Ovis aries: one gene and its partner. The protein of the gene in region 1 interacts with the protein of each later gene in a pairwise test. Links are inferred from orthologs where the notes say so. Each region holds a gene or a part of one and is shown on either strand. Other genes may lie near its edges.

Region 1 (3,591 bases):
TTCGTCCACGTGTCGTGGCTGGGGGTAGGCCTGGTGCGTGAGCGCTGTCAGTGGCAGAGGCTGGGAGGCTGCGCCCAGCGTGGCGACTCCACCGCGGCCCCAGCCCCACGTCGGGCCCCTCCGCCCAGCGCCCGTCCTCTCTCAGCCTCCATGGGGTCTGTGCTGCGATGACCCTGGGGCGTGGGCCGGCAGACACCGCGCTGCCACCTCTCCTCCCTGAGTCGAGCGGTGAGCGAAGCCTGAGCAGCAGTCTGAGGCCGCTGCTTTCGGAACTTCCCCGCCCTCTCCCCAGCGGCCCCCCGCCTCCCGCAGCCCGCCCGACCCCCGTGCCCCTGTGTCTCGGGTACCTTCCCGTCTGCGTAGTCAGTCCCCGCGTGCCTGGAGGCAGCCTGCAGGCTTCTCCGGACGCCTGCTTCGCTGTTGCCCATTGTCCTTGTTGCTCCCCTTTCCTCCCACGGGAGTCAGCGCGTGTCTGTCTGGACTTCCCGTCTCAGCTTGTGTGTCTGTCTGATCCATACCTGAATCAGCCGCTCTGTCTGTCCATGTGCAGGTCACCAGAGAGTTCCTGACATTTGAGGCTTTGGTTTTCTGTCCTCGGCACCCCATTCTTGCCCCTTGTAGTGTTGATTCAAGTGGCATGGCCTCCTCCCTCCTAGGGTCCCGGCCCTTGGGATAACTGCTCACCCAGGACCACCTTGGGAGCGCCTTGGGACAGTGGTGCTTGAGAATGGCCCCCGAGACGCCCTCCTCACGGACTGGACTTCCCCCATAGATTACACTCTGTCTCGACCTCCCGTCCTTCTTGAGGGGCCAGGGCAGCCATTGCTCTGAGCTTCGATGGCGCTGCCCTGACGTAGAGTTGACATGGCAGCCCGTGCATCCGTTCGGGTGTGGTTCCACGGTGGAGGCTGGACACACCCACACGGGCTGGGGGTGTGACTCTACGTAAGGCTGTCCCAGCCCCTGCTGAGCAGGGCAGAGGGCGCTCTGACCCCATCTGAGCGTCACCCGCTCAGACATCCACACAGCAGGGTCCAGAGGGTGCTTTGCACCAGGCCACCTGGGCTGAACTCAGCCGTGTCGGTCTACTCACCACTGGGCTCGGCCGGCAGTGAGGCTGCACCGCAGTGCCGTCCTGAGGCTCTGGGCAGTGGCTGTGTGGGCACCTGGCCAGCGAGAGCCACGGTGCCCACTGCCCCGTCTCGCAGAGAAGGCAGAGCAGTGGGGACCCTCTGTCTAAAGCGACACTCGCGTTCCAGGGTGGACCAGCCGCACCCAGTTTGAGGAGACATGGGCCACCCTCCTCGGCGTCCTGGTGACTCAGCCACTCGTGATGGAGCAGGAGGAGAGCCCCCAGGAAGTAAGGCTGCGCGCAGGGTCCAGGGCAGCACGCCCTTCCACCTGTCTCACCCGGGTGGTAAACGGGTGGCCAGTCACATCCTGGCCGGTGTTCCAAGGTCTGGGTGCTCTAGGATCATGGCCCAAAGGCGTTAACCACAGCGTGCTGCCTGCAGGCCGCAGGACTGTGTCCTTCCTTAAATGTATCTCACGTTCTGCTGCTCAGCATCCAGGTATGGTGTGTAGCAACGTTTCATCAAAAAGGAAAGGCGTGTCTTAGAGGCCACACGTGATAACTAGTGTTGATTTCTCTTGACTTGTTTTCCAAAAATTTTATGGGGCCTGGAGTGTTAGTGCATATTGTGGTACTTTAAGAAGACGTGCTCTGATACAGGAAAGCCTGAAACATTAAAAGCTGTCAGGTTCGCGTTCTTCAGATAGAAGGTGTGGTGTGAAGCGGCAGAAGTGGCGGTTCAGAGAGTGTGTGTGTCAGGCGTCACCAGGAGTGACGTTCGCCGGAGAGGAGCCAGCGGCTCGTCCTGTGCAGGGCCCCTAAAATCGGTGAGGAGATTGAGGACAGTTTCTTAAGAAGTAATTCATATTTGGAGCTTTGTGCTTGGAGGAAAGCTGGCTTGGAAAAGCAACCACTTGCCCATCAGATTTATCTCAAATCACAGATGTGTGTGGATTCTGGTGAATTTAGGCAGATGCTCCAGGACCCCCGCCGGGAAGGCACATCTGTCTGTCCGCTCGGGGCCCGTGCCTGTGAGGCCGCCTGGCTAGGCAGCCCCAGGGGAGGTAGTGTGCTGCGGTATGCGCCTTGGTAACCTGGGGCTCTCCTTCCAGGAGGATGTGGAGAGGACGCAGATCCACGTCCTGGCCGTGCAGGCCATCACCTCCTTGGTGCTGAGCGCGATGACCGTGCCCGTGGCCGGCAACCCGGCCGTGAGCTGCCTGGAGCAGCAGCCCCGGAACAAGCCCCTGAAGGCCCTCGACACCAGGTGGGCCCGGGAAGCACGTGCCCAGGGCACGGCCGCGTGGGAGCAGGGAGGCGCTGGGGCGCCCTCTCCTTTGCTGCCAGGGTGGTTTGGTGGCTGAGGCTGACGACCTGGCCTCTGGTGTCGGGGGCCGGCTCCAGTGGAGCTAAGGGGGCGCCTGTGCAGGGCCCGAGGGCCTTGGCTGCACCGTTTCCTGGCAGCGAAGCTGGGAGTCAGGGGGTTCACTTTGAAGATTTTGGAGGAGCTGGGTGCCGGTAACCTTTGCTCTGAACTTAGGTTTGGAAGGAAGCTGAGTGTCATCAGAGGGATTGTCGAGCAGGAGATCCAGGCAATGGTTTCCAGGAGAGAAAACGCCGCCACTCACCACCTGTACCAGGCGTGGGACCCCGTCCCGTCTCTAGCCCCAGCCACCACAGGTTCCAGGGGCTCGTGGGGGGGTGGGTTGCGTGGGGGTGTCAGCCGCTCCTTGTGCCCGTGAGCACGGCTGGACTGTCCCAGTGCCAGGGTGGGGGCTCGGTGGGCACCTTGTCAGCGACCACTAACACTCCAGCTTTTGCAGCTCAGCCCACAGCCAGTTCCCGTTCAGTCTGGTTTGTTATGGAGAAAAAGTGATAGTTCTCATCACCCTGCTGGTCCTGCAGCTTCATATGCTGTGCGGGGACGGACTCCCCACTGAGGGGGCACTCAGGGCTGTGCGGGACGGACTCCCCACTGAGGGGCACTCAGGGCTGTGCGGGGACAGACTCCCCACTGAGGGGGCACTCAGGGCTGTGCGGGGACGGACTCCCCACTGAGGGGGCACTCAGGGCTGTGCGGGGACGGACTCCCCACTGAGGGGGCACTCAGAGCTGTGCGGGGACGGACTCCCCACTCTGCGGGGACACTCATGCATCCTTGCCCTGCAGGTGCTCTCATCAGCCATGACAAGCTGCTGCTGCAGCTCAACCCTGAGCGTGAGCTGGGGGACATGAGCTACAAGCTTGGCCAGGTCAGTGCCCGGCAGGCGGCCAGCGGGGCCGGTTCCTCCCCACCCTCCCTCCAGAGCTAGCTGACTGTCCCCTGCGTGGGTAGGGGGCTTTGTTACATCATTCAGAAACACGGGCCCACACGTGTTGTCTGGTGAGAGGACCGGTTTAGAACAGAGATCCCACCTTCTGGTTCCATTTTGTGTCAAGACCTCACCCTGACGTCCTTCAGCAGCCAAGTTTCCTTTTTCTTTCTCAACGTTCCCTTTCTTAGTGGCGCTTCCCCCTCC
Region 2 (4,051 bases), on another chromosome or scaffold:
GGCCAGGAAAAGGAATGGAGGAGACTTGGAATGCACCTACTAGGTGGAAGAAGCTAATCTGAAGGGGCTCACATTCTTTGACTTCAACCACATGGCATTCTGAGGAAGGCAGAACTGGAGGCAGGGGCGGGGTTAGCGTTCGCCAGGGGCTCCCCCGGAGGGAGAGGGCAGAAGCAGCTGATTCTTAGGGCAGAGCAACTATTACGCTTGATACTGCAATGGGTGCCGCTTGACATAAATGCACAGCACAGAATGAACCCTAATGTGAACGTGACTTCCTTTTGTCGTTTAGTCGCTAAGTTGCGTCCGACTCCTTTGTGACCCTACGTAGTGGAACCCGCCAGCCTCCTCTGGTCCATGGGTCATCCCATGGCAAGAATACTGGAGTGAGTTGCCGTTTCCTTCTGCAGGGGATCTTCTCGGCCCAGGGATCGAAGCGGGTCTTCTGCGTTGGCAGGTGGGTTCTTTACCAGAGCTAGCAGGGAAACCTTAATAATAATGTATCAATACTGTTTCATCTATTGTAATAAATGTGCACCAGCCATGGAAAATGTTCATAAGGAAAACTGTGTATGCGTGGAAGGGGTATATAAGAACTCTTGTATTTTTTTTGTCAATTTTTCTGAGAGCCAAAAACTGCTCTAAAAATAAATTCTATTAATAAGAACACTTATCTACTCGAAACAATAAAACAGGGGTGGTGTGCAACAGTGCACTGGAGTGTGCGTGATTCTCACACCAAGCATTAAATGGAGCGGGGGTGGTTGCACAGACATTGGTATCACTTGGATCGAAGGGTGAGCAAGACGATCGCAGGCCCGCGCCTCCGGGAGTGGGGGAGCTGTACATCTCCGTACAGCCTGAGTTTGTATAACGCAGGTAAAGCTGGCAAAACAGTGAACGCGTTCCCCCTTTTACATGTCTGCCTGGGGTTTAGCACGCCGGCCCCCGCCCCGGAAGTCGCCCCCCCCCAGGCGCTAGGCGCGCTCCCGGGCCCCCCGGCCGAGCACCAGGCCCCCCGGCCGAGCACCAGGCCCGCCCGCCCGCCAGGGCCGCCCAGCCCGCCCAGCCCCCGCGCGAGGTCGCGCGCGGCCCGGCCGGAAGCCGAGGCGGGGGCCCCGCCCGGCCGGCGCCCAATCAGCGCGCGCGGCTCATTAATAGTGACTAGCCGGCCCCGCCCCCGGCCCTCGCGGCGCCGCCGCCCGCGCAGACCCGGAGCGCGGCCGCGGACGAAGATGGCGACCGCCATGTACTTGGAGCACTACCTGGACAGTAAGCGCCCCGCGCGCCGCCCCAGCCCGCCGCCCGCGCCCCGCCGCCCCTGCCGCGCTTCCCCGAGCGCCGGGCTCCGCGCGCGGGCCCCGGGGCACGCGGGGGCGGCGGGGTGGCCGGGCGGCGGCGGGGGCGGCGGGGGCGCGCGGGGCGGGCGGGGCGGCGAGGGAGGGGCGCGGGGCGGGCGGCGCGGGCCCCGCCGGCACGGCCGCGCCAATTCCAGGTGCGTCACGGCGGGGCGGGGCCGGCGCCAAGGGGCGGGGCCCGCGCGGCCGGCGCCGCCTTCCAGGCGACCACGCCCACCTTCCTGCAGGCCCCGCCCTCCCCGCCCTTGAACACGGCCTCCTGGGCGGGGCCCCGCCCCTTATCGGCTGGGCTCCGCTCTCTTCCCTGTCGGACCCGCCCCCTCTGGTCAGGCCCCGCCCCTCCGAGCCCCGCCCCGCCTTGGGGGCGGGACTGGCCCACCAAGATGGTTGAGTCCCAATCGCCTGGGACTCTGGGTCGGGTTTGGGGGGCCCAGGGCCTCGGAGTTCGGTGTTCTGTGCCTGCTTGTGATGTGACTTAGCTTGTGCCTCAGTTCCAGGCCTCATTTCATGCATTTGCGAGGCATGCAGGCGCAGAGGGTCACTGAGGGTACCGGTCCGAGCCCAGGGGCTGGGGGCGCTACTTACTGGCCGGGGTTAGGGTGTTCAAGGCAGGGGTCATCGTCGTGGCCAGATGTCCCGACGCATTGCACATGTTGCCCTCTCTGCAGAACTCCTGAGCGGGTGGCTTTTTTCCTCCACATTTCACAGAGCAGGTGATGCCGCCTGCAGAAGCCAGGTAGCTTGTTAAGGTCTCTTGCTGGAGAGCGGCGATCCCGCGTGGGAGTCCTTCGTCCTGACTCCTGTCTGGCCTCCGCTGGGGCATGGCCTGGGGAGGGTGGGGCTGGTGGGTGTTGGGCCCCGTGGCTCTAGAGCACTGTGCTGTACTGGGGATCACAGCCCCCAGACCCTCACCTGAGGGTGTTGAGAGTAGGGATTGAACCTCTGCTCTGGGGAAGACTGTGGTGATCCGCAGGGGATCACCTAGTCCTGGCCCAGCCTGAGCACAGGTCCTGGGTGGGAGAGCACCCAGGTGCCTGTAGGGGGGGCACTGTGGCTTGTCCTCTTTCCTGGTGCTTGCCTGGTGGGGCCCAGGAGGAGAGTCCGAGGAATATGATCCTGGCCTTTGCGGGCACCCGTGTGAAGGCTTGGGGACAGAAGCCCCTGCTCACTCCCTAAGCACCTGCTGTGCACCAGGAATTTTCCTGGGACATGCTCTCAGATGGGACACAGGAGTTTAAAGGTCATGAAGGAGTCTAGCATGTCTCAGAGTGCAGGGGTACTGCTGCAGTAGGAACCCCGGGGGGGCGGGGTCCCACAGAGAGGCTCTGAGGGGTCCGCTCGGTGTCTGCTGAGCCAGGGCGCCATGGGGCTTAAGCACCAGCTTTGTTTGATGAGAGGGGCCCATCCTGGCTGCAGGCAGGGGCCGGGCTTGGCCCAGACCAGGAGCCTGGCAGTGGGGACAGGAGACCAGTGTGGTGCAGGGTCCTCCCTGTGCTGTCCTTCCTGGTCTGTTTAATTTTAAATAAACTCTCATAAAATGGGAAACTCAGTCCGTCTGTGGTACTGGCCCCATTTCAGGTGCTCAAGTAGCCCAGAACACGTGGCCAGTGCCTCTGTGTTGGGCAGCTCCATCTTTGCATCACGTTCCCCCACACAGCCCCGGTTGGTACTTCCCCATGCCCCAAGTTCAGAGTAGAGTTGGAGGAGGACCCTGGGGTTTGGGCTGGTTCGCTGTGACGGGGTGTCTGCAAGGGAGGAGTGGCCTGGGGTCTGGGGTGGGAGAGGCGCATGGGCACCCTCTGTCCTCTGTTTGAATCTAACTTCTTGAGTTTCTGACAAGTGCTCAAACACGTCAGCTTGTACCAGGGTGTGTTCAGTGTTTAGAGCACGTCGCTGGGAAAAGATACCCTGATTCTTCTTGTTTCCAAACCCTAGCAAACAGAAGCTAGAGTGGGCTTACCCCTTGTGGCCTTGAGCTGTGAGGCTGGAAAGGTGAGCTTTTGTCCTGCTGTGTCTGTTTCAGGTATCGAGAACCTTCCCTGTGAGCTTCAGAGGAACTTCCAGCTGATGCGAGAGCTGGACCAGAGGACAGAAGGTGGGTGCAGGCCTTTCAGTGCAGCCAGGGTGGGGAGAGCAGCTCCCCAAGGCAGGACCCTGGGGGTGGTGCTGCGCTTCCAGGTACCTGGGGCAGAGGTGCTGCGGGCATGGGGTGACGTCTCAGAGTGCCAAGTCTGTGCAATCAAACTGAGTGCCTGGTGCTCCTGCGTTTCGTCTTTATGACCCTCATCCCCTCCTTGCAGTTAAAGTATTTGTTAGCTTCTCTTTAAAAGATTTTCCCTTTTCACACTCTGTGTGTAGTTTACACCCTGCTTTTGGGTCTTTTGGTGTTAACTCCTTATTTCTGAGCACCTCGTTTTTGCTGCATTTCTTTATTTCCTTTTGGTTTTAGACTTTAGCTGTTCAGTTATTTCAGAAAGTGAAGACTGACGTCTTTGGTTGCGCCCAGCCAGCTCATGTGCACACAGCTCCTTCCCGCCATCTCCTGGGTGTTGTGGGCCAGAGTTCACACTGTCCTGATGTCGTGTCCGTCAGGGCCCCTGTGTCGGTAGCTGGCCGCCTGCTGTGCGCATGTGGCCTGCTTGGCCTGACTTCCTCTCGGCGTCTCTCACTGCTCTGCTGGTTGGTTTGTCTTC

What was found.
Region 2: the proteins of HTT (region 1) and ING5 interact in binary tests that used the Homo sapiens proteins (3 or more experiments, as listed by UniProt). The link is inferred for Ovis aries from reciprocal best matches to the Homo sapiens genes HTT and ING5.

The regions. Positions count from the first base shown.
Region 1 is NC_056059.1:116,335,108-116,338,698, reverse strand, and holds part of HTT (huntingtin), read left to right. Parts: intron 1-1,259; coding exon 1,260-1,360; intron 1,361-2,184; coding exon 2,185-2,339; intron 2,340-2,612; coding exon 2,613-2,752; intron 2,753-3,241; coding exon 3,242-3,324; intron 3,325-3,591.
Region 2 is NC_056054.1:252,191-256,241, reverse strand, and holds the start of ING5 (inhibitor of growth protein 5), read left to right. Parts: upstream 1-1,206; 5' UTR 1,207-1,235; coding exon 1,236-1,272; intron 1,273-1,525; exon of another isoform or gene 1,526-2,094; intron 2,095-3,381; coding exon 3,382-3,453; intron 3,454-4,051. UniProt on the Homo sapiens protein: Component of the HBO1 complex, which specifically mediates acetylation of histone H3 at 'Lys-14' (H3K14ac) and, to a lower extent, acetylation of histone H4. Component of the MOZ/MORF complex which has a histone H3 acetyltransferase activity.